2 linked regions of the Rattus norvegicus genome follow. Each later gene encodes a partner of the first gene's protein in a complex. Links are inferred from orthologs where the notes say so. Each region holds a gene or a part of one and is shown on either strand. Other genes may lie near its edges. The genes, in order: Adat3 and Adat2.

What was found.
Region 2: the proteins of Adat3 (region 1) and Adat2 are in contact, whole or in part, in a crystal structure (PDB 9HMM), measured with the Mus musculus proteins. The link is inferred for Rattus norvegicus from reciprocal best matches to the Homo sapiens genes ADAT3 and ADAT2. Residues at the interface, in NP_001094076.1 of Mus musculus: Val217, Ala218, Pro220, Leu221, His223, Ile229, Asp230, Ala233, Gln236, Gly237, Glu270, Ser272, Pro274, Val276, Val290, Met291, Met294, Ala295, His298, Ala299, Pro311, Asp312, Leu318, Phe319, Val321, Arg324, Asp326, Leu327, Asn328, Pro349; in NP_080024.3 of Mus musculus: Val62, Asn63, Lys66, Asn67, Ala68, Thr69, His71, Met74, Ile77, Leu81, His85, Pro91, Cys107, Ile108, Met109, Ala112, Ala113, Leu116, Met117, Arg130, Phe131, Val137, Leu138, Ile140, Asp144, Leu145, Pro146, Asn147, Thr148.

The regions. Positions count from the first base shown.
Region 1 is NC_086025.1:9,754,059-9,770,709, forward strand, and holds Adat3 (probable inactive tRNA-specific adenosine deaminase-like protein 3), read right to left. Parts: upstream 7,070-16,651; 5' UTR 7,041-7,069; coding exon 5,991-7,040; 3' UTR 5,700-5,990; downstream 1-5,699. Other genes in the region: Scamp4 (secretory carrier-associated membrane protein 4), read right to left, coding at 1,083-1,200, 2,371-2,472, 3,597-3,753, 3,986-4,114, 4,613-4,619.
Region 2 is NC_086019.1:9,765,326-9,778,773, reverse strand, and holds the start of Adat2 (tRNA-specific adenosine deaminase 2), read right to left. Parts: upstream 4,095-13,448; 5' UTR 4,005-4,094; coding exon 3,909-4,004; intron 1,544-3,908; exon of another isoform or gene 447-1,543; intron 350-446; coding exon 245-349; intron 1-244. Other genes in the region: Pex3 (peroxisomal biogenesis factor 3), read left to right, coding at 4,378-4,450, 10,777-10,908. UniProt on the Homo sapiens protein: Probably participates in deamination of adenosine-34 to inosine in many tRNAs.

The sequences.
Region 1 (16,651 bases):
GTGTTTGGAATCCTCTTAAGAGTTCTTAGCCTGGGAAGTGAGGTGGCCCATGCAGGGACACCTGCCATCTCTAGCTTGACAGGGTGGCTCTGGCACTTGGAGAGTGATCCTGTCACCCCAAGCAGGGCTATATAATATATATATATATATATATATATATATATATATATATATATATACACACACACACACACACATACATATACACACACACACACACACACACACACACACACTATAAGGACGCCATGGGCCATCTTGTACACTCCAAGACCCCAGGCCTCGCTGCAAGGCCTGAGCTGCTCAAGGCTATACATTCAACCTCAGGAATGGAAAAGTGCCTCTGCGCTGGGCAGGGTGGCACATGACCTCCACATTTGAAAGGCCTGGACCGGGGTTGGGGATTTAGCTCAGCGGTAGAGCGCTTGCCTAGCGAGCGCAAGGCCCTAGGTTCGGTCCCCAGCTCCGGAAAAAAAAAAAAAGAAAGGCCCGGACCCATGCCCACAAACCAGATCGCATGCACGCACATGCACGCGCGCGCGCACACACACGCATGCGCGCTCGCGGTTTATCTTGGGGCTGAAAGCACTGACTGCTCTCCCAGAGGTCCTGAGTTCAATTCCCAGCAACCACATGGTGGCTCACAACCATCTGTAATGGGATCTGATGCCTTCTTCTGGTGTGTCTGAAGACAGCGACAGTGTACTTATATATAATACATAAATCTTAAAAAAAAAAAAGGTTGATCTTGTTCCGTGCAGGCAGCTCTGTCCCCACAGCTGTCCATGGCAGACCCATGTTGTCCCTGGAGGCACATGTCTGCTGCAGGTCACCTCGCTGGCCTGCGGAGGCCTCCTACCCTCCCCACAGGAAGGCTCCTGAGCCTAAACCATTGGTGCCAGTGACACTCCTTGTCCTCCTCTAGGATGAGGCCATGGGTCCCCCACAAACCCTGTGAATTCCCAGGAAACAAGATCCCCATCACAGCCTGCAGCCGAAGACATGGGGTGTTCTGTGTAACTCATGCCCACAGGATGAGGTAAAAGAAGTTTTAGGACAGAGACTGAGCACAGAGAACTCACCTTCACAATAGTGATGGCCATCACGACAGCGGATAAGGAAAACATGATGGCTGGGATCAGCATCACCACAGCAGCCCCAACGCTGGTCCCAAAGAACCCAATGGTGGCCAGCCAACCACTGCAGATGAGAGAGGGCTCAGCACATGGAGAAGGGCATGCTATCCTCCATATGCAAAGAGCTCTGACAAATCAACAAGGAATCGGTAAATAAGGCCAATTCTCCTTCATATGTACTGAGCTCCAACAGATTATTGAGAATAAAACTTTGAAGAAGCCAGGTTCCGTTAAGGACCAGAAAGTGACTGGTCAACCCAAATTGAGGGTTACCCAGAAAACTTAACCATTTGGCAGGCTTCAGTTCCTAGAATACACTGCGAACAGGAAACATTATGTCAAGGCCTCAGTGCCTCCTACAGATCAGGATGGCATCTGCACCCTGAACTAAAACTTAAGAGACCAAATTGGTGGGTCTCAGTGGGACATACCTGTCATTCAGGCATTCAGGAGGGGACACAGGAGGAAAGAGCTCAAGGTCACCCTTGTGTATGTATACAATTTCAGGCCAGCCTAGGCTACTAGAGACCCTGTCTCAAAAATTAAACCAAACAAAACAGATACGGGACTTTGCCCTTGTTTGTCTGGGACAGGGTTTCTCTGTGTAGCCCTGGCTGTCCTTGAACTCAGAGCTCTGCCACGCGTGAGGGGTCATCTGTTTGGTAGGGACTGCAGGCTGGAGGCAATTTCCTAGACTTGTTCCCAGTGCCCAGCATGTGCCTGCCTGTGTGTGTGTGTGTGTGTGTGTGTGTGTGTGTGTGTGTGTGTGTCAGTATCCCCATGGTACAGCCCATCCAACCTGAGAATGCCACCTGCCGATCTGAGGCAGGCACTGACGCCATGGTGATGGCATGGGTGACAGGGATGGGGTGGGGGAGCATGGTTCATGAGAAAGGTAAGAGGACACCTGGGGGCCTTATATGAACTTTGACTAGGACACACAGAAGAAAGGAACACTCAGACCCAGTGGCCCATGCCTTCATCCCAGCACTCAGGAGAGCCAGGCAGGTAAACCTCTTTAAGTTCCAGGCCAGCCAAGCTACATAGGAGGTGTTCTAAACAGGCCTGGGAGCAGCTGGGCAGCGCCCCCTGCTGGTGGCTCACGGCACAGGCCTTTTTCTTTCCACACTCCTAAGGTACTGGAGGGCGCCCTCTCTCCGAGGGGCAAGCCCTGGACCCATGCTGGGAGACTCTCACACAGGCATACAGAGACCGCATCCCTCTGTCTGCTTACCACGCGCCCCAGCCCGAGAAGCCGATGGCCTGAATGACAGTCAGCACAAACTGGGCTCCAAAGATGAAGAAGAATGCCATGAAGTTAAAGGAGCTGTCGGCTCTGCAAATGACAGAAGATGCCGGGTCACCTACACTCCCTGAGGAGGGGGGGACCCAGCAGGGGGAGGACTGTGTCACTTCCCTTGTCCTTGATGGCCTGAAATAACCACGGCCCTCCTCCAAGCACTCAGCCTGGGGTGCCACAGGGAGGATTGGAGCCCCAGCGTCATGGAGACTGCCTAACGCCTTGTCACCATGAGAGTGAAGGGCCATCCTCGGGCTACTTCTGGGCGTGGAAGGTGTGCCTGTGCTCCTGCTATGGAGACTTGGCTGAGCAGACATCGGTCTCACTGAGGAGCCCTCCTGGCCTTCCCTACTCTGTACCTCAGGCACCACACAAGAGCAAACACAGCTCACTCGGATGAGCCAGCTGAGGACATCTGCGCATGGACAGATGGTGAACACAGCAGGGTCTATCTACCCACAGGCTAGAGTACTGTGAGGCCCCAACAGGAGCAAGGCCCTGGCACACGAGAAACAAGCACGGAAGGCTACACGCGTTTGTGGCTTCATACTAGAAAGTGTCCAAAACGGGCAAATCTAGAGATAGGAAGTGGAATTGTGGAGGCTGGTTTGCATTTGGGGTGATAGAATCTTCTAGAAGCAAGCACTAAAGCTAACCACAGCACTCCAACACTGAGGTACTCAGTAGCCGGGAAACCACAGTGCGTGCACGACACAATGCTCAGTAAAGCCATTATTAAAACTTAAACTAGGATAGAGGTGCTTGCTGCCAAGCACGACAGCCTGGCTTTGATCCCACCACTCACCTGTCCTGTGACTGCTACAGCAGTGACATGGCACATGCACACTCGTGTGTCTCTGTGTACAAGCCTGTGACCATACCTCCCCACAGTGACACTGCACATCAAAGAATCGAGGGAGGGAGAGAAGGAGGGCTCACAAGCTGCTTGCTTAGTATCTCACACCCTGGGCTCCATCCCATCGACAGTGGTGGCGATGGCCTGTGGTCACTGTGACATAAATGGCCACCTACCCTGGATAAGTGGGAGACAACTTCCTAACAGGTCCCCAGGACCTCCATGGACCTCCAACTCTCAGCATGCCCGCCCCACAGGGTGGGTCTGAGGTCCTGTGGCCTGAGGGCCCCTGGACCAGGCTTACCGGAAGGCCTTGTAGGCAGGCCGGAACCAGCACACATAGCTGCAGGGAGTGAAGAGAACAAGCCAGAGCATGGCCAGGCCAAAATTGGCACCCGCTCCGCCCGCAATCCACCAGGCCAGGCAGGCCACTAGGTTTACACCCAGCGTGGTGCAGTAAACTGGAGGGGACACAGATGGAATAGGAGGTCAGTTACCAGGGGAGTCCCAGGGGACAGGTATGAGACTTGGGACAAAAGGCCAAGCCCAGGGACCCTCCCTACCAGACATTAAGGATGAGCCTCGTGCAGGGACCAGGGTCTTGAACGTCCCAAGGAGCACAACACTGCTGCACTTGGTGGGGACACTGCTAGGGTGGCCCGCCCACCTGCCCGCCCTCCTGGAGAGGCTCACACATCCACAGCCGGTAGATCCTCTTCACCAGCACCTGGTGCTCCACCGGGATCTCATCAGAGAAGTCCTGGTAGAAGCAGGGCTTCAGCGGCAGGAAGTGAGGCAGCGGGGGGAAGTTGTTCTCCTTTCCTGTAGGAAGGAGACCCCCAGGTAGCCCGACAGCCAATGCCTGACAGAGCCCCCTCCCCACTTCAGGTATAGCCCTGCAGGATCAGCCAGACACTCTCTGGGCTGCAGACAGAATCACATACCAGCACTGCATGTGTTTGGGGGAGTAGAGGAAAAGAAGGCCCCAGAGAGTAGCCACAGTCAGTATAAAGGCCCTGGAGTCTGCACTCAGTGTCCAGGAGTTGTTGGGCTAGCAATGGGCTACCAATGAGGTAGACCGCCAGCGGTCCTTCCATAGCCCCTAGAGTAGTGGGCAGAGTTCTCTAAGCTCTCTAGCTTTACCCCCCGCCCCACATCTGCAAGCTGGAGGATGATGGTTCTTTGGTGGCCTATCTGTGCCCCACTGTAGCACCCAAGGTGTCCCAAGGCGGAAGCCAGGGAGGCCAGGTCAGCTCTACAACCAGCTCAGGAGTCTCAGTGGGCGTGGGGGACACTACCTGGAGAGCAGGGCAGACTCACCTGCCATTTCTGTGTCAGCTGACCTGGCACCCAGGCAGAAGGGGCCACCTGAAAGAAGACTTGTATTAGGGACTTGGTAGCCAGGGGACCAGGAAGGCCTCACCCAGCCCACTGCTGCAGGTTCCGATGCGTAGGCCAGCCAGCCTGCTGCTGGCTCAGGGTTGGACCTCACTTCTCAGAGCACACCCGGAGAGGACAGGCCAAGCCACCAGCTGATGTCACCCATAGCCTTAGAGCCAAGATGTCCTAGTCTCAGTGGCCTCACAGATGGCTTCAGAGCCTGCTGACACAGCCCTCAGTACTCCTGTCCTATCGAGTCACCCAGAACAGAGCTCCCTGCCATGTGGTAGGCTCCAGCTTGGGTGTGAAACTCACCTGTGGGCTCTCAATGGGAGCCTGGACAGGCCCAGGGGCACCTATCAGCTACTTTCCTAAGTAGCTCTGCTCCTAAGTGCCACCTTCAAGATGGGCCAGGCGCAGCCCCACAGCGTTTCAGGTGAGGAAGTGACGGGACACCCTGGCCTCCAAGTTCAGGCCCTGCTCAACCAGGTGTCACTGGTACCACAGTCCCACAGAGCCTCAGGTCGGGCTGCTCACAGACCTGCCTCAAAGCCTCTTCCTGTCCCACCCTGCCTCTTGGTTACTGAAGCATGGCTCCCAAGAAGAGCACTGCTTTCCCTTAGAGGAAGAAGGCTAGAAGGACTCTGAAGATGCAGACAGAACCCCAGCCTCACTTCTGCTCTAGGCGGGGCCTTGCCTTTCCTGTCTGAGGCCAGAAGGTGCACAGCCAACCCTGCCACCGCTCCTGAGGGCAGCTTGGTATTTGCAGGCACCACACTTAGACCGATCCTTCTGGAGCGCCTGCCCTCCCCTCCCTCATGAAGAGGCACACAGGATGGCCATGAACAGACCCCAGGTCAACAGGCACCCAGACACAGACGAAACCTTAGAATCCAGGGACAGGCAAGGGCACCTGCTGGGTTGTTTCTGACCCTGGACGCACTCAGCAGGGCTGCCCATTCCCTTCACAAGCTATAGCCTGAGGCAGACGTCAAACCCAGCCTGGCACCTGAGTGCAAATGGGAACTTGGTTTGAGGTGCTTTATTTTCACACTCGATGGCTGCTCCCTGCCCCGAGCCTAGAGGACCACCACGGGGACTCTAAGGCAGCCACTGGGCTTGCAAGCAGAGCAGAGCCCCACGGTGTCGCAGCCACCAGAGAAGCTGCAGTCTCGAAACTGAGAGGCCCACAGTCTGGCACAGGTGGTCAGTGTCCTCAGACACAGAGGGCGGGACCCCAGGCCCAAGGCCATGGAGCTGCAGGGGATGCGGGCTGGCCAGGAGCAGAGAATGGTCTAGAAGCAGAAGGTCACGAGGCCTACGGGTCGGGGTCCAGCTGGCGGCACTGGTCCTCGAGGATGCCGCGGAACACCTGGAAGCGGTGGTTGAGGTCTGGCCGAGCGTGGACACGGAAGCGCGTGCCCAAGGCGCCATCGGGTGAGGGCGCCCCATAGAAGACACGCTGGATACGGGCGTGGACGAGGGCCATGGCGCACATGACACAGGGCTCTCGGGTGACGTACAGGTCATAACCGGTGCACACATAGGGCAGGCTATCTTCGTCCAGCTTGCGCACGCTACCAGCACGGGCGCTCTGAGTGGCAGTGGCCTGTGTGAAGGAGCAAGCTGGGTGGCGTCTGAGGTCGCAGGAGCCTCGGCCCTGCCCCTGGGCCACCAGGTCGATGCATACCATGACGGCGTGCAGCAAGGGGCTGGCTTCGCTGCAGCAGTCATGGCCTGTGGCCAACACATGGTCCGAGGCTGGGTCCACCACGACGGCACCCACTGCCCGCAGCCCCTGCGCGGCTGCCCTCTGGGCCGCACGTACTGCCCGTTCCATGTGGGTCTGCATGGCGGCTCGAGCCTGCGCAGAGAAGAGTTGCCCGGCCAAAGCACTGGTCACCTGCTTGTCTTCATGGAAGGATGTGGGCCAGTGGGCCCGCGCCTCCTCAAACTGGCTCCGGGTAAGGGGCGGCCGGGCAGGCACAGGCACCAAGAAAGGTGTGCCCAGGCCGCGCGGGTCCACGGCCGGCCTCGGAAGGAGCTCGGCCAGCGAGCGCGGGCCCGCGGACGGCCCGGCCAGGCACAACAGCAGATCCGACGAGTGCGCACCGCCTGCACTGCGGCTGGGGCGCACCCGTTTGAGGTGGGGCTGGGCAGGAAGTGGATAGACAGCAGACACCTCCCGGAGGAGGCGGGACGTCTGGCGCTTGTCCAGGACAGGTGCAGCGTAGGCCAGTACCAGCTCCACGGCCCCCGACTGCTGCTCCGACAGGACAGGGAGGGCTTGCCACTGCGCCGGCTCTTGCTCCTCACTTTCAACCTTCTCAGGCCCAGGTTGCTCTGCAAAGCCTGAGGTGGGCTCCATCCTCAGCGGGGCTCGACTGTGGGAGACAGAGATGGGACTGGAGCATCATCCGTCAGCTTCAGTGGGGCGGGGGTCTGTCCTGGGATGCCGTGGGTCCCGCCAGGCCCAGGAATGAGGAGTCCAGAGCGCCAGGTAGAGTTGGCTTACTCCCCGGCCACATAAGGAAAAACCATGCCGGTCTCTTCGGGGCTCTGACAAGTCCACATGCACCCAACAGACGCCATGTTGAGGACAGTGTGGAGACAGGCATTCATTACTATGAAACCCAAAACCCACCTCAAGCAGCATGCACAAAGCCCTGGCTTCCAGACATGGCCCGAGTAAACCAGGCCTGGTGGTACCCTGTCATCCCAGGAGGTGAAGGTCGGAGGATCAGCAGCTCATGGTGATTTTAAAACCAGCCCTATGAATGGCTACATGAAACCTTGTCTCTAGCCAAAAACAAAAACAAAAGAACAAAACCCAGAACAGCTGCTGACATGCTCTGGCTGGCTTCAAGTCCTCAGACCTATAGTCAGAAGGAAGGCCTGCAACAGACTCATGGGACCCTTGAGTAGATGAGACCTGCAGAGAGAGGATGTGTGCACGCAGATCCTGGCTCTGGCCAAGCTGCTAAATGTCCCATTTTCTACACAGTGAAAATATATAAATGGAGAATGGGGTTCAGAATCACCCCCCAAAACACATAGTTAGACTGACAGTGAACCTGACCCCAGGTGGTTTCTATGGGACATGCTATGGCAGTCTACCTGGTAGCACACACCAGAACCTGTGGGGCAGAAACAGGAAGACGGCTGTAAGCTGGAGGCCAGCCAGTCAGAACTACAGAGCAAGACCCCATCTCAATCCTCTGTACCCCAGAAAAAGGTGGGTGGCAGGCCTAAGATGCTCCCTAGAATGCAGACCCTGCCAAGAAAGGAAGGCATGTGCCCATGAACTGCTTCCACGGTGGACCTGTGCTCACCTGTATGGCCTGTCCAAGTTAGCCCACTTCCTGTTTCAGTGGGCTAGCCTGGGAACCTAGTTATCCATGGGACCTGAGCTTTCAGACAATGCTCACGGCCTGCTGTGCAAGCCCGGTAAACCCTGAGCCGACACTACCACCGGTTACACATGGGGAAACTCAGGCTCCCCAAAGCCAGTGAGGGCTGAGGTGACAGCCGACATCACCACCACTTGGTTACACACAGGAGCCAGTGAGAGCGAGCGAGGCTTTGGGAATCCTCTCAGGCCTCAGGAGCTTCTCATTGCTCAGGCACAGCTAAGAAAGGGCAAAATGGGACTGGAGAGATGGCTCAGCGGTTAAGAGCACTGACTACGGGGTTGGGGATTTAGCTCAGTGGTAGAGCTGGGTTCGGTCCCCAGCTCCGAAAAAAAGAAAAAAAAAAAAGCACTGACTGCTCTTCCCGAGGTCCTGAGTTCAATTCCCAGCAACCACATGGTGGTTCACAACCATCTGTAATGGGATCCGATGCCCTCTTCTGGTGTGTCTGAGTAGTACGGTGTAATAAATTAATTAATTAATTAAAAAAAAAGGGCAAAATAGCAAATCTGAGAAGGACCTGGTTCTCTGCTGCTGACCCTTCTCGCCATCCATAGTCCTCAAATCTTCGCCTCGGCTGACAACCTGCCCCACCTTGCCCTGACAGCTAACCACTGGCAATAAGGCCTAGCAATCCTCAAAGCAGGCCTAGAATCCCCAATACCCCCAGGAGGGGATCGGGTGTAGCTCAATGGTAGGAATCTGTCTGTCCTGCTTAAACCCTGAGTTGAATGTGGAGCACTAAACAAACAAATTAAAAGGAAAGAGAGAAGTGCCTATGAGGTGACCTGCTGCCTGCCTGTAGTGGGCTTGGCTACACTACCCAACATCACCCCCACACCCTGCTGGACCCACGGATGGAGATGGACTCTGGTACATCCGTTGGCTTTCAGGGCTCACCCCAGCTGCATAGATCAACACTGAATGGCTCTATGGGCTAACTAGAGGATCACAGGGGCAACCTGGAGCCCTCAGACTAGGAAGTCAGAACAGCATCAAGTAAGCGTGTCTGAGAGCCTGGTATCACCATGGCAGGCAGAGCCCATGAGGGGCATGGGGACAGCTGGCCTCCCCAGAGTATACACCACGCCTACGACACACAGAGCCTGCCTGGGCCACAAAGCACCACTGTTTCCAGGGCAGAAGACACAGCCTTGTTTGTCCCATCAAGACTACAACAGGGGACACAGAAAGAAGGCTGCTGCCTTGGGAACAGACAGCCTGGGCTTACAGACCTCTGGGGAGTTTAATAACTATAGGATGGTAGCCCCTCGTGTTCATGGCTATAGAGTCCCATTCTGTATGTTTGCTTTCCTGTGTTGTTTTGAGACCGTGAAACCAGCTTCATCCTCTGGTCACCAGGTCACTCACGTTGGGGCAGAAGTGAATACCAGCATGAATGGCTCCCTTGTTTTAGGTGACAGGTGCCTACTGTTCATCAGCATGGGAACAGGTTTGAAAGCGGCTCCTCGTGCCACAGACAGGGACCTCCCCTCCACCAGACACTCTCACAGGCTTAGGAAGCCACCTTTAAGGAACCTCATTCCCTCTGCAATGAACAACTGCAGGCAAATAATGGGCCTCGGCTCCAGGGTCACCATGGCTAGACTGGCTACAAGGGGCAGGAAACAGCACCACTGCATCAGGTCTGGAAGCACAGGCCCGAAATACCAAGCACTCAATAAGCCACTAGAGAGGAAGATGTTGAGTTTTCGGCCAGCAAAACCTTCCAAAATAAAAAATAAAGAGGGCTCGGGGCAGAGTTCAGCAGTGGAGAGCCTACCTATATCCTAGAATGAGAGGCTGAAGCTTGGTTCAGGGGTAGAGCCCTTGCCTAAATCACCCAGTGAGGGGATAGGGTGTGGCGCAGGGGTAGAGCCCCTGCCCAGAATCCTTCACTGAGGGGCTGGGCATAAAAATAAGCAAAGCTCCTGGAATTCGCTTCTGAAGGGAGCGGACGTGGATCAATAGTACAGTGCCAGTCTAATATAACCAAAGTCCAGGATTCGATCCCTGGTACCACCAAAGATACCTCAAGAATGCCCATAAGTACCAGAGCTTAAAGGGAAACTGCACACCTGCCGTATAGATGGTGAACTGATAACCCTGAGGCAGGGGACTGTGATGACCCGGAACATACAACCGGAAGCAGCTGGAAATCACGGGGTTTCCGGAATCAGAAGTAGGGTACACGCGTGCGCCGCAAACCGACGGCGTGGGGCGCGGTGGGCGCAAAGCCCTGTGCGCACGCGTACTAGCGTTGACTGCGAGCGCACGCGCACCCCCACCACCTCCCGGGACGCACGCAACACTAGTACTCAACGCGGGCTGCCCGGACAAGGCCTTCTTTCCCCTGTCCACCGCCCGTTCCTCATCGCCATCCCCGGCGCCCCATGTCAGATACGGAACGGCGGAAGCCGAACCCTTACGGCGGCTGCTCACCTGAGGGACACCCGCGCGAACGCCACGCTTATCCTAGTCCTAGCAACCGGGCCGCCACGCCTGCTGCCGCGGGGCACGACGGGAGCGTAGTTCCATGGGCGGGGCCTGTGAGATATGACGGCAGAGCCTCGACTACATTTCCCTTAAGGCCGTGCGCGTGAATGCTTCACCCAGCCTTGCTGAGTCTGGGGACTTTTCTCCTGTGTGCTGCAGTGAACTCGACCCCTGCGTGACACTTCGAGACATCAGCAGAAAGAAGACTTGAGGCAGAAGGAGACTCTATGGCCGTCTATAGTCACTCAAAGAGCATCTGCCATCATACTTCTGTAAAGTCCCATGTTGGTGCTGAACAATCTCTTCTACTGCTTGAAAGGTGACTGTGGTCCGAGGCCCTCATTTTCCTCATCTGTACAATGGGTGAAACAAATATGTGAACTCCTGAATAAAAAATAAGATTGGCGCTGAGACTGTAGCACGGTTCGTGGAGTGTTTGCCTAGTACCCAGGAGACCCTGGATTCCATCCATAGCACAGCTGATGGCACAAGCTGGTCATGCCAGCACTCTGTGGGTGGACACAAGAGATCAGAAGTTCAAGGTGGTTGGGGTGAGGGCCTTTAATCCCAGCACTTGGGAGGCAGACGCAGGCAGATCTCTGTGAGTCCCAGGATATCCAGGACAACATGTCTTGAAAAAGGAGATCCTGTCTTCAAAAAAACAAAAAACAAACAAAAAAAGACGAAAGAAAATAAATGAACAAGTAATAGAGGCAGGAGAGATGGCCTAACATTAATACTTTTAGTTAATTACTAATTGTTTTACATAGTCTCACTGTGTAGCCTTGTCTGCCTAAAAAGTCATACCCAGGCCAGAGTTCCTGAGTCTCTCCCAGGGCCCTTCTTCCTCTGGGGCTCAGAAATCGAGACATAAACAGCAGACAGTCTGGCTGAACAACCAGCCAGGAAGGTGGAAAGTGGCGTCAGAGAGCCCAGGGTCTCCAGGATCAGCCTATTTGCAATCTTCTAGGTCTGTCTACTACACACAACCTTTCTGGAATAAGGAGTGTCTTGTGACCAGCTATCAGAGCAGAGTAGGTCCCATAGGATTGGTTTATGGCCACTTGCAAGACAGATAATTTGGGAGATTTGTGTGGATGTGGCCAGCATTACAAAACTAGAACCCTTGTGCAGTATCTGGCTTCCAGGAAGCCATGTGAACCAAGGGTCTTGGAAGGAAAACCAAGGGTTTGGGTCACCACAAAAAAAAAAGCCACCATGGGGGCTGGAGAGATGGCTCAGTGGTTAAGAGCACTGACTGCTCTTCCAGAGGACGAAGGTTCAGATCCCAGCACCTTAGGTGCTCACAGCCATACCTAACTCTAATTCCAGAAAATCCAGTGCCCTTTCAAGACCTCTATGGGCACAAGGCAATACATACATGCAGGCAAGGTACCAGTTTACATAAAATAAATATTTTTTAAAATGCTCTGCCAGGCTTTTCCAACTTGGGCCCGGCAGAGTGGTGCCTGCAAAGAAAGGTGGCGAGAAGAAGAAGGGCCATTCTGCCATCAAGGAGGTGGTGACCCAAGAATACACCATCAACATTCACAAGCGCATCCATGGAGTGGGCTTCAAGAAGCGTGCTCCTCGGGCTCTCAAAGAAATTCGGAAATTTGCCATGAAGGAGATGGGGACTCCAGATGTGCCCATAGACACCAGGCTGAATAAAGCCATCTGGGCCAAAGGAATAAGGAATGTTAAGGAATGTTCCATACCACATCGGAGTACATTTGTCCAGAAAGCGTAATGAGGATGAGGATTCATCAAACAAGCTCTACACACTGGTAACTTCTGTGCCTGTTACCACATTCAAAAATCTACAGACGGTCAATGTGGATGAGAACTAACTGCTGAATGTCAAAGTTACAGAACTGCCCCCCCCCCCAAAATGCTCTGCCAGGGTTGGAGAGGCAGCTTGCCAAAGGGGAACCCTATTATCCCAGAAGACCCTGGTTTGATTCCCTGTAGCCACATGGTGGCTCACAACCATCTATAACTGCAGCTATAAGGAATGGAATGCCTTCTATTGGCCTGGATAGGCTGGCATATATTACACAGACAGATAGATATGCAGGCAAACGCTCATATGTATACAATGAAAATAAACAAGTTTTCTAAGAGATGCTATGCAAGGGAGCTAGAGCGGTGGCTCAGGGGTTAAAAGGACCATGTGTCAGCTTGTACCTGCTAGGTAACTGTAGGGGATCCAACACCATCACACAGACAAACATGAAGGCAAAACATCAATACATATAAAATAAAAATAAAGAAGTTGTCTTTAGTAGCTTAGGAAGTCCCTGAAACTGAGCAGATTCACTAGGCTCCTCCCTCCTCAAGCTTATATAAGCCTTAAAAACTGCTAAGGGACACTATTAGACTAGTAGACATGCCTAGAACAGGCAGAGACTAGCTTAACTGAATGTAAGGGACACTCTCCCCTCCAACCTATTGAGCTGACTGCAGGCTGTGCAGTGCGCTCCAGGTCCCCAGCTTTCCTGCGCAGGGTAGCAGATTGGGCTTTGAGTCTGTTCTGCTACTCTAAGTAGTCCACCATCCATACTCTTGCAAATAACCCCAATAAAACTAATGGTTCACCAAGCTTGACTTTGGTAGTGTCCTTGGTTTGGGCTGTGACTGTCCCTGTTTGAAGCGAACGAACAGGTAATTGTTTACTTATCCCGAGGAAGAGGGTCACCTTCTATCTGCACAGAAGATTCTGGGCAGGAGGTCTACCTCTGAGGCACACCCTAAAGCCTATTTATCCTTTAATTTTTTTTTACTTCGGTTTGTTTATTTCTTTATGTGCCAGGCAGTGGTGGCACTCACCTTTAAACCCAGCACTTGGGAGGCAGAGGCAGATAGATCTCTGTGAGTTTGAGGCTTGATCTACAGTGTGAATTCCAGAAAAAAATGGGGACGTTGGTGAAGGGGAACTCAAAGAGGACTGAGAGCTTGGTCATGGAGCCCCACCTAGAATTCCTCAGTAAGGGGCTGTGGTTGTGGTCAGGGTTGGAGCCTTGCCTAGAATCCCCCAGTGACGGGCTGGGAGGCGTGGCTCAGTGTGATTTCTTCCCTGTTTTGTGAAAGACCTTTGGTTTGATCACAAAAATACAGGGGCATAGATTTCATGCACTGGGTTTGAGGGAAGGACTAATCCTGGGTCTAGGGAAGCAGCTGGAGGGTCCTCTGCCTGCCCTGCACTCCCCTTCCAGTCCATCAGTCATCTTCATGACCCCTCACTTCCTGCCTTGCCTCTCCAGTCTCTACAGGAAGAATCCCACTCCCAGCCCCTTGAAATCCCCCATGATCTGGGCACATCTAGATAGGAACTCTCAAAATGCAGCTGTCTTCAAGGCACAGCCTCCAGTTGGGCACTTGTGATACCCAGGGCTTGGAGCCTGCTTTGCAATTTGGAAAAAGGATCTCAGGTGGTGGCTTAGGCCTGTGATCCCAGCACTGAGAAGTCCAAGGCAAGAGGAACACTAGATTGAGACCAGTCTGTGTTGCAGGATATTTGATCACGGTGTAAACCCAGAGTGTGAACTGGAAAAACCTATTTCTTGTTGTGGTGTGGTTCAGCCCTAGCACACACCTTTAACCCAAGAGCTTCCTGTAAACAAGGGCTAGGTAAAGTGAATATAGGTCAAGAGGCAGAGCCAGCAGCCCACTGACCAGAGTGAGCATCCGAACCCAGGAACGAGAGAGGAGAGTCTCTGCGTTAAAGGGCACATGAGACATCGTGGAGAAGGGAAAGGGTCATCTGGCTGCTTTCTCTGCCTGTCTCAGTGAGCAGGCTTTCACCTCAATGTCTGGCTCCTGAGTCTTCATTGGTAAATAGAAGGTTTGGGATTTTGTTTTAAAAAACTCAAGGCTGGGGCTGGAGAGATAGCTCAGAGGTTAAGATCACTGACTCCTCTTCCCAAGGTCCTGAGTTCAATTCCCAGCTACCACATGGTGGCTCACAACCATCTGTGATGGGATCTGATGCCCTCCTCTGGTGTGGCTGAAGACAGTAACAATATGTGTGTGTGTGTGTGTGTGTGTGTGTGTGTGTGTGTGTGTGTGTGTGTAATAAATCTTAAAAAAACAAAATGAAATTACAAGCCTGAGTTAAGCGGTGAGTTCAAAAGCAAGTTCAAAACCAGCCTGGTCGACAGAGCGAGTTCTAGGACAGCCAGGGCTGCACAGAGAGACCCTGTCTCAAAAAAAAAAAAATCAAAACAAACAAAGAAGGAAGCAAAAGAGGCTAGAGCTGTAGCACCGTGAGCCAGAGGGCTTGCCAGGCATGCAATGAGGCCTGGTATCCACCCCCAGTGCCACATAAGCCAGGCATGGCAGACCTGTTGCCCAGCACTTGGAAGGCAGAGGTGAGAAGCAAGGTCAGGCATTGGAGGTCATCCTTGGCTACATAGCTCATTTGAGAGCTGCCTAGACTGAGTGCTTATCTCAAAGGAAGAAAGAAAGAAAGAAAGAAAGAAAGAAAGAAAGAAAGAAAGAAAGAAAGAAAGAAAGAAAGAAAGAAAGAGAAAGAAAGGAAGGAAGGAAGGAAAAAAAGAAGGAAAGAACAAAAGAACGTATGAGGTGCTCTTGCTTAAACTTCAGAACAAAACCTCTGTACGATTTGACTGCTGACCCTGAAGCCTGACAACCACTAGGCCATCTGAGAAGGCAACTGTTTCGTTACCAAGATAGTCTCAGTTCACAAGCCTGCATCTGCCCAAGCCGTCTTTCACCTTGGCAGCTTTGTGAATTGTTCTTTCTTTTTTAAAGATTTATTTATTATAAATGCAGCTGTCTTCAGACACCCCAGAAGAGGGCGTCAGATCTCATGACAGATGGTTGTGAGCTACCATGTGGTTGCTAGGATTTGAACTCAGGACCTCTGGAAGAGCCGTCGGTGCTCTTTTTTTTGGGGGGGGGTCTTTTTTTCGGAGCTGGGGACCGAACCCAGGGCCTTGCGCTTCCTAGGTAAGCACTCTACCACTGAGCTAAATCCCCAGCCCAGCCGTCGGTGCTCTTAACCACTGAGGAATCTCTCCAGCCTATGAATAGTTTTTTTCTTTTCTAAGAAAAAGATTTTATATTATGTGTATGTGTAAATTATGAGTGTGTCTGCACGTATACACATGCACCATGCGTGTACAGGGCCCACAGGGGACACCCTGAGCTACAGTTTCAGTGCTGTGCTCAGTGGGTACTGTACACTAGACCCAGGCCAGCCGAACAGCAGTGCCCTTAACTACTGAGCATCTCTCCAGCCTTAGTTTGTTTTTTGTTTTTCTCTTTTTCTTTTCTTTTTTCTTTTTTTTTTTCTTTTTTTTAGGAGCTGGGGACCGAACCCAGGGCCTTGCGCTTGCTAGGCAAGTGCTCTACCACTGAGCTAAATCCCCAACCCCTTTTTCCCTTTTTCTTCTTTTCTTGTCCCTTTGGTTTGGTTTTATGGTCTCTCTGTGTAACCCTGGCTGTTCTGGAACTCCCTTTGTAGCTCAGGCTAGCCTGGAACCCAGAGATCCATCTGTCTCTGCGTCCCCAGATCCCAAGTGCTGGGATCAGAGGCATGTGCCATGGTTTCTTTGGAAAGTCAGGTATGTCAAAGTTTCACTGAGGCAAACACGTAAAAGCACACATGACGTTAGGACGGACCCAGTACATGATGGATGGCGGAGGATGATATTGGTACACCTCGCCATTCCTAAACAGCCATCTTCTGTGATGACTTCATGTAAAGAAACACACTGGAAAAGCTCTGCCAGCCTCGTGCTTCGTCTGTGGAATCAGGTGGCTTGCAGTGATGTCAGCTTCTACAGACCCACGAGTTGTTCTGCTAAGACACGTGTGGGAGGACACGTGACGTTTGGAGAAAGTATAAATAGTACTCAAAGGACAGGGACAGCAGGCATGACTTCTGGTCCTGGTTGCACCTGCTGACTCCTGCAGATTTGGTGGAGGCCTGGCTGTTTCTGCTGGGTTGAGCCACTGCTGCTGGTTTGTGTTTGCTGTGTGCAAGTGGACCCGGACTGAGAACAACGAAGATTGGAATCGCCCCAAAGAACAATTTCTTTTTCTCTTT
Region 2 (13,448 bases), on another chromosome or scaffold:
GCATCCTTCATGCACACGCACTAGCGTTCGCACACACACTACAAACACACACATATGGGAGGGGGACAGCAGGAACTGTTCCACAGCCTACACACACACACACACACACACACACACACACACACACACACACTAAGCGGGAGGCGGGGCAGGGAACTGCCCCAGAGGACACATTGGCTCTTGTCTTGCCAACTGGCCCCACCGTGGCCATAGTATGCTTCTGTGTTCTCAGTGCTCCACTCACGTTTTTTGTTTGATTCACTTCATTTCTTCCCTTCCCCACAACTTCATTGTTATAGACCATGAGGCAGCCGACAGGAACTTCAATATTCTCGAGTGCTTCTTTGGCCTGAAACACAAAGTGGAAAAGCTGAGAGGTGCCGCTCAGCGCTCAGAAGGCTGTGGATAAAAACAGACGCAGTGGGAACCGAGGGGTGGACAATGACCTGGGCAAACAGACACAGCTGTGCTTTCCCCGTCTCAACGCTGGTGTCTTTGGACTGTGATGTGCTGTGTTCTCTGCTGGGTGTCTGTGTTAAGGAGAACTCAGGGATGTCTCCCTTCCCAGGTCCTGCGCCTCATTTTCTCTCACCGAAAGTCTGAGTAATCAATGGCTTTTGACCAGTGTTCCTAAAATACCAAGGCCGCCCCTTCTCAGAGATGATACCCATATTTGCAAAGAGGTGGGAGAATATATAACATGTGTAAATATTTGGCTATAATACTTTGCCTTGATAAACTTCTACTTGATTAATTCTTTTAAGCTTCTCTAAGATTGTAGATATGATCCCATAGAGTATCAATACCATAAAAATGATCAGACTGGATGTCACTCTTTCCCACAACTTTTATTCTAAGAGACACATGGAAATTTAGGGATATTTTATGTAACGATGACACCAACTTGGAAAATACATTGGAAGTTTTTAAAAAAATAAATATTCACAAAAATCTATGATCCATGTTGCACGCACGCATACACACACACACACACACACACATACACACACACACACACACACACACACACACACACACACATACACACACACACACACACACACACACACACACACACACACACACACACTAAGCTGATGAGACTTTAATAAGTTCTTCAGAGTCTTCCAATGAGATTTCCCTGGTTCTGATAGTGAAGCAACAGTTAGACAAGGTGTGACACTGAAGAACATTGAATGCCTGGGCCCTCTCTGTGCACACTTTTTGCAGTTTCCTGTGGCTTACAATTATGTAAAAGGGAAAAGTCAGTAACTGAGCTAAAGAAGGATGTAGCAAGCCTACTGATGAAGAGTCAGGCAGATCTGTTGACTGTGTAGAAGACCCTAGGAAAATGCAGGCCAAAAAGAAAGGCGGTGTCAGTGGTGTCAAGGCCGAGACAGAGGAATTTCAGGTGGAGCGGCGGAAATGAAAAGCAATGGCTTGAAGAAATGACTTCCCAGGGCTCAGATTTTCAGTGTTCCACTGTACCTCCCAACAGAACTCTTAAGAGGTAATGCCATGTCTACATCTCAAGATGCATAGGTTGAAAATCTAACTAGCTGTGTGTGTGTGTGTGTGTGTGTGTGTGTGTGTGTGTGTGTGTGTGTGTGTGTGTGTATGCACGCATGTGCATGGTTTGGTCTGGGACTATTTTGAGCATTTTGTAACTATAAATTCCTTTCGTGTATAATCCGAATGTGATAGGGGCACTGAGCATCATTGGATAAGGAAACCAAAGCAGGGAGGTCAAATAACTTAGCCATCTAAGACATCTGGAATAAAAGTCATTACTCCATTAATAGTTGGAACAACTATTAGTGTCAGGTGCTGGGTTCTTTGCATCGCTCTCTCTCTCCGAAGCCTCTTTAGTAACCCGTTCGGCTTCACTGACTAGACCCTTCATCAGAGTTTTGGTTCGGAGGAGAGGGAGTAGTAAGAGGGAGGGATGCGCGATAAGGCTTCTGGTGAGCCTGCATCCTGGACCACTGAATGCGATGTCAGGAGATACAATGCCAAGAGCAGCTCCGAACATACAGAAGAGAATCAAAGACTGGGCCAGCAAGATGGCTCAGCAGGGCTTGCTGTGAAGGCGTGAGGATGAGTCCCATCCCCAGAACCCACAGTGGAAGGAGAAAAATATCTCTCCTCCCAAAAGTTGTTCTGTAGTCCTCAGACACATGCGAGCACACACACAGATGCACCCTCTCCACACATACACATGCACAAATAATAACTTATTTTAAAACTCCCCAACATGGTAGGAAGCACATAGGTAGGGAATGCCTAAAGCATTATCCACAGTGCATCCGACATGCTCCAGAACACTGCTTGTCTTGGCAGCCTTTCTCTGCTCCCAGGTCAACAGAGTACTGGGCTTCTTGGTACCTAGTGCCTCTGGGTCCTCTCTTTTTTTTTTTCCTTCCAGCAAAATTTATCTCACTAGAAGTGACAGGATTACCTTAAAGAGACATAGAACATAATTGATAAGGCACGACTTGTAGGCCAGGATGCTAGGGAGTAGCTGAGCAAATGGAGTGGCAGTTGAGAGAAAGTGACGCCCAAAGAAAGCGGTCTGTGGAGGTCGATTTAGAGGAATTGCTTCCCAGTACACATACACATACAAATGTGCATGCATTTCCTCTACTGACAAGTTCAAAACTCGAAGCTGAAAACCCACATCCAATCTCAGATTTTCCAATGCCCCTCCCAACTCTTCCAGTTAGTCCCTTTCTCTTGTCACAAATGCAAAAGAGCTGGGTCAAAATAGGTCTAACTGGGTACATGGCTTTGAACTTAAGAAGCTAGCCTTCTTTGGAAGAGGTCAAAGCTCTTCCACTGAAATGGAAATGGCGACTTGGTCTTCCTTAAACCAACAAATTCTCAACTCAAGAACAGAAGAATAAAGGCTCTCTTCCTCCCACCCCAGGCTCTGAGAAAAATGACCAAAAAAAAAAAAAAGGTTAATTAAAAAAAAAGAATGAATTATGCTATTTTGGGGGAGGGGGCGGAGAGCATGTTTCTGTTTTCACAGGGACAGAAATATATGAAGGGTGCTTACAAAATATCAGCAGGGCTATCTCTGAGGTCAGGGCTTTTAAGTAACTTTTACATAATTTGTTAAATGTTCTAGACTTTAATTTCTTATCAATGTGAACTTCCGTAACCATTAGAAGGAAACGTTGAAAATTTCAATTTTGTAAACGAATAAGCAAAAATAACATCCCTACATCAAAGGCTGAGCTTAGTTTTTAAGGCCTTCACAATGATGTAAACAAATTCCATGATGTTCACAGAATGAAAACCCAGCATCAGAAAGACTGTGCATACATACATATATATCCTTGCCGCACATCAATATGGGTAATAAGCTTGGAAAAACATGTAAATACGACCAGGGCCCTCCATAATGAGCAATCCTAAAGGGATTGCGGGAAGGAAATACAAGGGCAGAGAAAAGTACTATAGAAAGCGTAAATACATCATCGGTGAGGATTATACTGGGGTATGTTTTGATATGACCCTCTTCCAGAAACATCAGCTTCCTTCCATTATATATGTTCAAGGGCGTCGGGAGCAAGCCATAAAATAATGTGGAAAATATGTGTCCACATGGAAAGGAAGGTAGGCATTTGGGTAGTACGTATCCCCAGGCAGCAGCTAAGGCTCCCTGTAATACATACTACACATCAATCAAACAGTCTCTGTAATTTCCCTCAACTCCAATTACTATGAGACAAAGCTAAAGAAAATTCCTCTAGAATAAAACAAGCTGTTGCTTCAGGTATTTTGAGAGCCCATATATAATGGTGATGAGAAAGCGCGCCAGGCACATTTGCTCAAACTACTCTGGTCAGGATGTGGCCGGGAGAAAGTTTGCACTCTCGGCATCCACCTGCCGGGTTCCTCACCATTCGCATCGCCTCCTCCATCCACTTTTCGGTCTCCTGTACGGACACCACGCACGAGCCGTCTGGAACAGTGGTGGACTCCACTTTCTCTTCCATATCGCCTTCTCTCAGAGACTCCGGGCCAAGGGACTGGAGGAAAGAGGACAGCGGAACGCGGCGGGCGCGGGCCCTTGCTTCCGGGAAGACGGAAAAGGGCGAGGCACCCGGGAGCTATTTGCGGACGGACCCAGGTCCGGATCAGTAAGCCGGGGCTAGGGGACCGTAAGCGTTGCTGCTCCGCTGTAGTCCACGCCCCCTTCCTCCGCTCTGGCTACAGCCTCTGCGCAAAGAAACGTTTGGGGTTTCTGAAGAGCACCTAGCGCCGCCACCTCGCTTCTGCCAGAGATCCGGGCCAGATTGACGGAAGACACGGTTTCCTGGTGAGCCAGTCCCTCTCCCCTAGGCAACCCACACAACCCGGGGTCTGAAGATGCTGAGATCAATGTGGAATTTTCTGAAACGTCACAAAAAGAAATGCATCTTCCTGGGCACAGTCCTTGGAGGTGAGTGACAACACGGTTTTAGAAGGGGCCATTGGCAGAAAGGAGTGACAGGTGACATAAAACAGACAGGGCCCCCTGATAGTAGTTCTGGATTTGTCGAAGGGATTGGCCCAACTGTCAAAAAGTTCTTTTATCTTCCCTCTCTGTGCCCTTTACCCCTCATTCTGACCCTGTCCTTTTTCCCTCACGGGCCTTCAGGAATCTACCCCCAATGAAGTTTATTTTCAAAGCACTATTCTCGTATAGATACATTGCCTTCCAATTCTCTTCTTTGCCTTCCTGATAGATTTTTCTTTCTGTTTGTCAACTCTGCTTTCAACCTTTCACACGAGTTTCGAAATATTCTAGGGCAATTAGCTTAAGTCTGCTCTTTGATGCGGTGTTTAAAGGTACATTAAAAACAGCATGTTGCTGTAAGGTATACAGTAGATAGTCTCCATTCCCAAATTTTAAAATACAAAGTATGTATCAACACAATGCTTGACTGGGTTATTCTGCAGTGTTGCCAGGACTGGCAAGGTTGTGGTCATTGTCTTTTTGGTGATACAGTTGAGTTCACTGGCTGAGAGGAAAGTTAGAAACACCTAGGATAAAATATCATGATGCTGGAATTGTAACATTGTGGTAGAGCACTTGCCTAGGCTGACTGCGTTGGATCCCAGGGAACTAGCAGCACACACACACACACACACACACACACACACACTGCTTTAAACCCTTTGTCTTGGTAAGACAACCCTCAGTTCATAATTAAAGGTCTTTAAAGAAGGGAATCTTTTGAACAACACAAAAAGGAAGTTTAAAAAAATTAAGTTTTAAGAAATGTTATCACTATATATATATGTGTGTGTGTATGTATATATATATATCTTAAATTATATCATAAAGTGACTTAAAATATTAGATCATTAATAAGGCAATGACCATGTTCTGCATATCTTTAAGGTATAGCACAAATGGCTAATAGTTAATAATCACCCTTAGGAAATATTCTATAGATAAAATATGTTTTATATTACCTCTATTCTCTAATAAATTGTACCCATATTGTAGAATACATATGTTGAAGATAAAGTCGTATGTGTCATGGAAGACATATTAAGAAAAATTTTTGCTCTACCTAAGTAAAGAAAATTGTCCCTAGCAATTTCAGAGAAGAGAGCCTAACCCTTATGGTTTATGAAGCAGTTAATGACAGATCAGAAATAGTCATAGGAGAAATTAAAGAGTATGTGGTTAAGTAATAAGTTTTTTTTGAAACTCTATTGAGAGCTTTATAATTGGAGATTAAGAGGAAGGGAAAAAACTGGGAGTGGTGGCACACACCCTCAATCCCAGCATTTGTAGGCAGAGGCAGGCAGCTCTCTGAGTGGAGGTGTGGTCTATACAGTGAGTTCCAGAATACCCAGAGCTTCATAATGAGACCCTGTCTCAAAAAACAGAAATAGGTAAACAGAAAACAAAACACAACAACAACAAAAGGGAGGGGGAAAGATTCAGAGGTGTAGTGGAAACACTGTTGGTTTTTAGCAAAATAGAAAGTTTTGAAATAGCTGAACTTAACCTTTTTTTGTACAGAGTTCATATTTTTCTGTATTTTGAGGAAATTCCTATCCTACATTTTAAGAAATATTTATTAAGTGATTATACTGCTGGGGACAGTATGATTGAATAGGTATAATATATGTATTTTTAATCATATATTTATTAGAGACTCACTGAATGTTGAACAGCATACTAAGTTCTTTCCAACTTCTGGAAATGACAGCAGGATACTTATTATTTGGCCATATTTTAAATGTAGAAACTAGAGTTCCCACACCCTAAGAAACTTGCTAAGAGTTTGAGTTACTAATAAGGAAATAAGAATTCAATCCCAAGTGTGTTAGATCCCAACACATATTATCATTCATTACTCTACTACTCTGCCTTAGCAGATTGTTTAATGTTTAAAGAATGAAGAGATAAGTAAAATACTGTTTACAGACCACGGTAGAGTTGAATACAGAGCCCAGTAGTATGCAGCAACCTGGAGTTACTTAAAATGAGGCAGATTTCATAAGAGGAGTGACACATTTTGGAAGCTGATTAAAGTGTTATTATGCATGATCAAAAGAGATATTTAGTGCTGGAAAAACACAGCAAGGCAGAACTTTGAGTTGTGTGGCTTCTAAAGTCAGAATTCCTTCTTCCCTACATTTCGGATGGTAATTGCTGCTTGTCCATTCACACAGTTAGACCGCTTGAGGCGGGAGAAGAACAGTGGTTCTCAAACTGTTTGATGGGAAATCTTTATACTATTAGAAATTAAGAGCACCCCCCCCAACAGCCTCCTGAATTCTATATCTACTTGAGAATTTAAGGTTAAAACCAAAGGTATTAGCTCATTTAAGGTAACAACAATAAGCCTATTAAATATTAATATGAAACATTTTTGGAAATTAGTGAGAAGAATGGCATTATTTTACAATTGCAAAGGTCTTTAGTTTGGCTTAACTGAAGAAAGCTAAATTCTCATCCCTTCTGTAGTCATGTATGATGCCTCCCATTAAATAGCTACTAAAATCCTCCAGTGAACACTCAGGATGCCAGTCCCAACATCTCAGTATGACACAAATATTTGTGGACCTCACGGATCCCTAAACTGACCCCAGGGATGCCAGGACCATACTTTGAAAACCACTGGATAAGCGAAAGTGTCACAGAACAGAGGAACTGGATTCCCACTTAATATCTGGTGATTTTTTAAAAGCACAGAACATGGAGTTATATCTTAAGCCTTGGAATTTTTAACCTCTTTAGGGATTTTTTTTTTTTTGTCATTTATCGACTTTCCGTTTGAACAAGAATAAGGCCTACTCTAACTCTACTGGGCTATAGTCTGGAGAGCATACATGGAAATAAAGTAATCCACACTGTGAATGCCTTCCTTACTATGCCATTGTGTGTAATGCGGGCAGGATCTGTGTGCACTTGCTTCTCAGTCTTTGCTATGGATGAAAACCATTTAAAGTGCTTCAGAAAAATATAGACTCCTTCCTTCAGATTCTATTTCTTCAGGTGTAGAGTATAGTTCAGGAACGCCTCAATGCTGAAATGGAGATGTCACCAAATGGACAAGTTCACTACTCAGCACTGAAAAAAGATTGAAATAGAATGCAAACATTAGAAATTGGGAATCTGCTTGATTGGAAGCAATGTTGATGGATTATTTTCAAATTGTTATTGAAAGTAGTTGTGCTATAGGAACTTTTCTCCTGGAAGACAAAACTAAGAGATGGTTTTAAAACAAATGATTTATACAAAGATATTTTGCTTAACTGGCCATGAAAGGAAACATCAAAACATTTTCGCTTTTTTTTTTTTTTGGTATTTAGTAGATATTTTAATTGCTAATAATGAAGATTATTGTAGCTATACTACAGAGGAAATTTACAGCTATTTGATTTTACACATGAAAAAGATGTCTATGCAGAGGAGTAAGCTGCCTGCTCCAAGTCACCTCACCAGCTGGCTGGTTCACGTCACATTGCCAGTGAAGCGGAGGCAGTCTTAAGTCTGTCTTAGCTAATGGCAGTTTTCTTTCTTTCATTAGTGTTTCCTAGAGAAACATTAGAAGAAGTCAGTTTGTGATTTTTATATATGAGATCCTAAGTGAACTAGACCTTGACTCGAAATATCAGTGCTAACTCAAGAAAAACAGTTTGTCTAGGACTTAAGCCCAATTTCATGTGTGACTTTTCTAGGGCTTCCATAATGAAACCTACCAAGTGAGAAACTTACAAAACTAAAATTCATCTTATACTTTTGAAGTTAATAGTCCTGATCAAGGTGTCTGTGGGTTTGTTCCTTCCGTCCTGTGAAAGGGATCCTACTAGGCTGTGCCATGTGGTGGCCATCTTGTTTCACACTGGCTTCTGCAACTGAATACTGACTGCTGGAAAGCCACAGAGAACTTCCAGAAGCCTTCAAATTGTCTTTCCTTTGTACATATCTCTGTCTACCTTTTACCTTCCTCTCAGGACTGGCCGTGTGGGATTGAGGCCCACTGATCTCACTTTGTATTGACCTTTTGTTCTCAGGTTCAGTATATCAGCCTGTGGCACGGGACAGCAGTGCACACAATTAAGCCCATTCTAGCTTTAGCTAGAATATACTGCACTTACCAAGTAAAGAGTGTCACATCAACGATTCATTTTGCAACATAACTTGAGAGATAATAATCACTGTGTGTGTAACCTTCAGTAATATGTTATGGAGATAAGGTACAAGCAGTATGTTCAGAACTAGGTGAACCAGAATTGCCTGTTGGAGGGTCACTTTGCTAAATTTAAGTCAGTTTCTTCATTCTCTTGGGATCTTTGTGGTGAGGGAAGGGGAATAGGTTCTCACAGTATATCCCAGGTTCCCCTCAAAATGGTAAAAAGCCCTCCTGCCTCAACTGGACTTATGGGCATGAGCCCCATATGCCTCTCTTATTCTAATGGCTGTGCTGCTGTGATGTTACAGAAAAGACAGCCAATGAACAGCATTTATTGATTTCTCTTTGCTCTTGGAGCTTAATTATAATGCATGTATTTGTATGTGTAGTAACAACAACCATACTATTCCTATTCAGCACACAATTTTATGGAACCATCTAAAGATACATAACATCTTAAATCATCCACAACATCTGATTTAGTGAAAATAATTTAGGATATATTTGCTTTGCAGCTCCTGATGTCTACCTTGTCCTTGCTTGTGAGAAACAGACCTAATCCAACTATGTTAGGCATAATTCTTGAGGCCTTTTAGGAGATAGTATAAGCCCCAGACAGAGGAGATAAATGAATGATGGTTAGCCCTCTGAGCCCTTGCTGCTAGGATTTATAATGAAATCAAGCTCTGGCACACATTGATACTTATTAGCAAACAAAAATGAAACAATAACACAGCCTCTTCTATAAGCTTGTTGAATTCTGACCTTTGGCACTATGACAAAATCATGTACCCAAAACAAAGGCAACTCTGTCATTGCTGTAACTTGTTGGATTTGGAGGACTTTTCTGGGTTCCAGGTTAAGCCATCCCTGAGGAAAAAGGCCTTGCGTCCATGTTTATAGAAATGGTACTAAAATGTTTCAGCTCATCAAGTTCTTAAACGCTTACTGAAATAGTCCGTGAATCCACTTCTGCTATCCATTGTACTGTTTAGTAAACCCTCTGATGCCAATCCGAGATAGTTAGTTAAAACAAGCCATCTTGTGTGGGGGACTGCCTGAGGAAAGTAGTGGAGCACAGGAGTGGAGAGAAGTGAGAGTGGGGAGCAGGGCAGTGGTGACTGTGATCTCAGTGCGCTGTTACATGTGTGGAACTGACCAAAATAAAGGAGATTCGACTGCCGCTGCATCCTCACCACGTTTAACACTGAATGCTCATCAGATTCCCAGTTAAGAAAACCAATGGCCACTCACCCAGTAGATGACAAAAATGCACCCCCTTACATCCTGTGCTGAAGACCACACAACCCTGCCATATTTTACACCGTTGTGTTACGGTGCTGTCTTCCTGTTTCCTTTGTCATTTGAATTAGTAGTTTGTAGACAGCGTAAGTTATATTTTCTTATTTTCTCAGATGTTTTTCTAATACAGGGGTGGATAAATGCATGTCTTCCTGACGATATACCCTTCTCTCATTCCTTTAAATCTTTTACTGTAGAGATTTTTAAAGTTATGTGGCCATTGACGACAACATGGAAAATATAGAAAAGCAAACACAATCGCAATTATCACAGTTTATCTTACTTTAGAAATTAAGTATGTACTTTTCTGTGTATCTGTTCCATTAAAACACAGACTTCCTGGATGTTATTTTATCACCTAATAGTATGAGGTAGATCTTTCCTCGACTCATTAACTATTTAGCAATGTGGTTTTTAATAACTACATAAGATACCATTATGTGAACAGATCATAATTTATTTAAATAACCCTCCGTTGCTGAATGTTTAGAATATTTTCAATTAACTATTAAAGATGCTGCCAGACTTTATAAATCCAATGCCTTTCTGCTTCTTGTCTGTTAATGTCTTCTTTTTTTACTAGCTATATTAAAATATATTATATGCATGTAAAATAAATAAATAAATATATAAGTAAACACTGTATCTCCTTTCCCTTTTCAGTTCTTTAATAAAAGTCTTTTAGAAACTGTATTTTCAGCTTGTCCCTAGTATCAACCTCATGATTTAATCAAAAGTGCTTAAAATATTGGTTAGAATTTTTAGTACTCCAGTTAATATACTACTTTGTTTTGTTTTGTTTTGTTTTTTAAATGACTTTTAGGAGTCTATATCCTGGGAAAATATGGACAGAAAAAACTTAGAGAAATACAAGAAAGAGAAGCTGCAGAGTACATTGCCCAAGCTCGGCGACAGTACCATTTTGAAAGTAACCAGAGGACTTGCAATATGACAGGTAAGCAGACGCATATATGTATCTATGTTAAAGTGCTTGTTGGTTTGTATTAATTCATAGCCTCAGGCTCCAGTGTATGGGAAAGATGAGGAACGTGTGATAAACCTACCCAATAGTCCTGTTAACAGAGATATGTAATTTCCACGTGAATTTTTAAAGCCGTATAAATACTCACTTATGCATTCATTCAGCAGATATTCACAGTGCCTGCCCCTGAGTGAGTAGGCAGTAAACAGAGTAAGATCCCCTGAGCTCCAGCAGGTTCTAGTGGAAAGACAGCAAACAGCACAAAGGTAACCTTAGGCTGCAGTGGACCCAGTACAGAAAGGAAAGCTGGGAGGAGTGGACACCTCTGCAGAGTGTGGTCGGGGGCTCGTGCCTCTGACCAGATGGCCTGTGCTGTAAAGTCTCATGGTACAATATGGAGAGAAAATGCCTGAGAGGAGAACATGCTAGAAACATTACAAGAACAGCACACAGGCACTGCAGCAAGGGAAAGCAGATGAGTGCTAGGAAGCAAAGCTGTGGAGAAAGGCCTGACCCACCCATGCGGCCTCGTAGGTCACAGCACAGAGCCCAAAGCCTATTAGGTCTCCAGCAGGACACTGTAGGACATAAGCATTCCGCGACAGTGTCTGCTCAATCACTTAATTAATGGTAATAATGTAACTACCAGAGCCAGAAACCTACTGGGAAAAGGCCACAATACAGTCAGTCTGCTCAGTTTGAAGAGAGTAAGGAGTTAGGTTCTAACTGGGGTGATGCCTGGAAAACCAGTTTCTCAAATCTACGTCAAGTCTGCTCCTTCTACTGTTTAAAGCCTGTTTTTTTCTCTCTGACATTTCTTTAAAGGCTACCTTAGAGGGAATTTACAAAGCTCAGTGTATCTCATTCCGCTCTACGAGTAGGCTTTTCTCTAGATCCGAGAGGACCTTATTGCTAGCTCACTTACCTCACGTTATAGAGGAAAAGCTAAGGTCAAAGAGAAGATAAGTTCACAGCTATATGCGAGTTTATTTTTGGGTTTATATAGGGTTCTGTGAAACCCTATTCAGAAGTACTGGCCATAATGACAGCGCATGCGCACAGCCAGGATGACTGGGGCTCTCGGGAGGCTGATACCACCAGATCAGTTTCCAGTTTAAGTTGTATAATCTGTGTTCTTTGGGCTAATCTGAACCTCAGCTCTTCCTGTAAAATGACCTTTATAAAACTTCCTTCAGAAATGTATTGTGAAGGACCCGGGATATAGCTCAGCTGGTGATGGTGCTTGCCTAGCACGCACAAAGCCCTGGAGTTTGATCCACGTCCTAGCACTTGGGACACTTAGGCAGGAGGACTGTTTGATGGCAGCAGGGCCATATAGCTAGTCCCTGTTTAAAGTAGAGAAGTAGTGTGTGAGAAGACAGTGAGATTCCCCACATAAGATGCTTGGCACATAGACACTCGGCGCGTGGACTTAAAAATCACCTTGAACATGCGGTGCTACTGAGGACATGTCAGTGAGTGGTGAGAGAGTGTGAAGTCTGCTTCAGATGATTGTGCAAGTTTTCACAAAATAGTAAAAGGTCACTTTTGGGATCTCAAAATACCTCTCACTTTGGCAAAACCCTGTGTCATATTGCGCCTCCCAGAATCAAATGGGAAGATGTACAAGCAATGCTTGGGGGAAATGCCTATGAAGAATAGTAGAGAGGGAGGAGGAACAGGAAAGAAGGTCTCTGACACTTGGGGAAGGAAGAAGTGGAGGTAAGAAATACCAGAGCCAGGCACAGTGGTCCATACTTTTAGCCCCAGAGACTAACAGAAGGCAGAGACAAACAGTTCTTTATGGGTTCAAGGCCAACCATGTTCCAATACAGCTATAGTGAGACTGTGTCTAAAAAATTAAAAGCCTGAAATGATTCTTCCCAGTCTAAGAAAGCTTGGTGAGTTACCAGGTCCAGTTCCCTGGTAGAGGAGTTCCCACAAGAGTACTCATGGGCTAAGAGATGTGAACACAGTAATGAATCTGCTGCTTCATTTCACTGCTCTTAGAAGGTGGAGCTGACGCATGTCGTGACCACCACAACCCTCAGCAGATACCAGACTGCAGACAATTAAAAATAGCATAGCATGAAGGTAAAATACAAGTTCTCTAAAAAGCTTGACAAACTAACTTCCTGGTATGCATTTACAAGAGGATGCAAATAATGTGATTAGCCCTCTGACTTAGAAATCTTTGATGGGCAGACCGTCGGCATGGAGGGCTTCAGTTTTCATCCAGGAGAGGTTAATGTCAGTTTATGAGGGAATGCTTCAGGGGTTTATCCTTTTCCTTTCTTGACTGAGAATTTACTGAAGACTGAGGAGAGAAGCTCATTACATTTACACATGGCCTGATGTTTATTTGTGTAACTGATATCACTAATAAAGTTTCAGAATACAAAATACATTTTGTTTTTTGGACTGTGATAGATGAATTTTTTTGTGTGATGAGTCAATTTTACAGATTCAGAATGATGCATAGTATTTAATGAACATTGGAAATTCAAACTGAA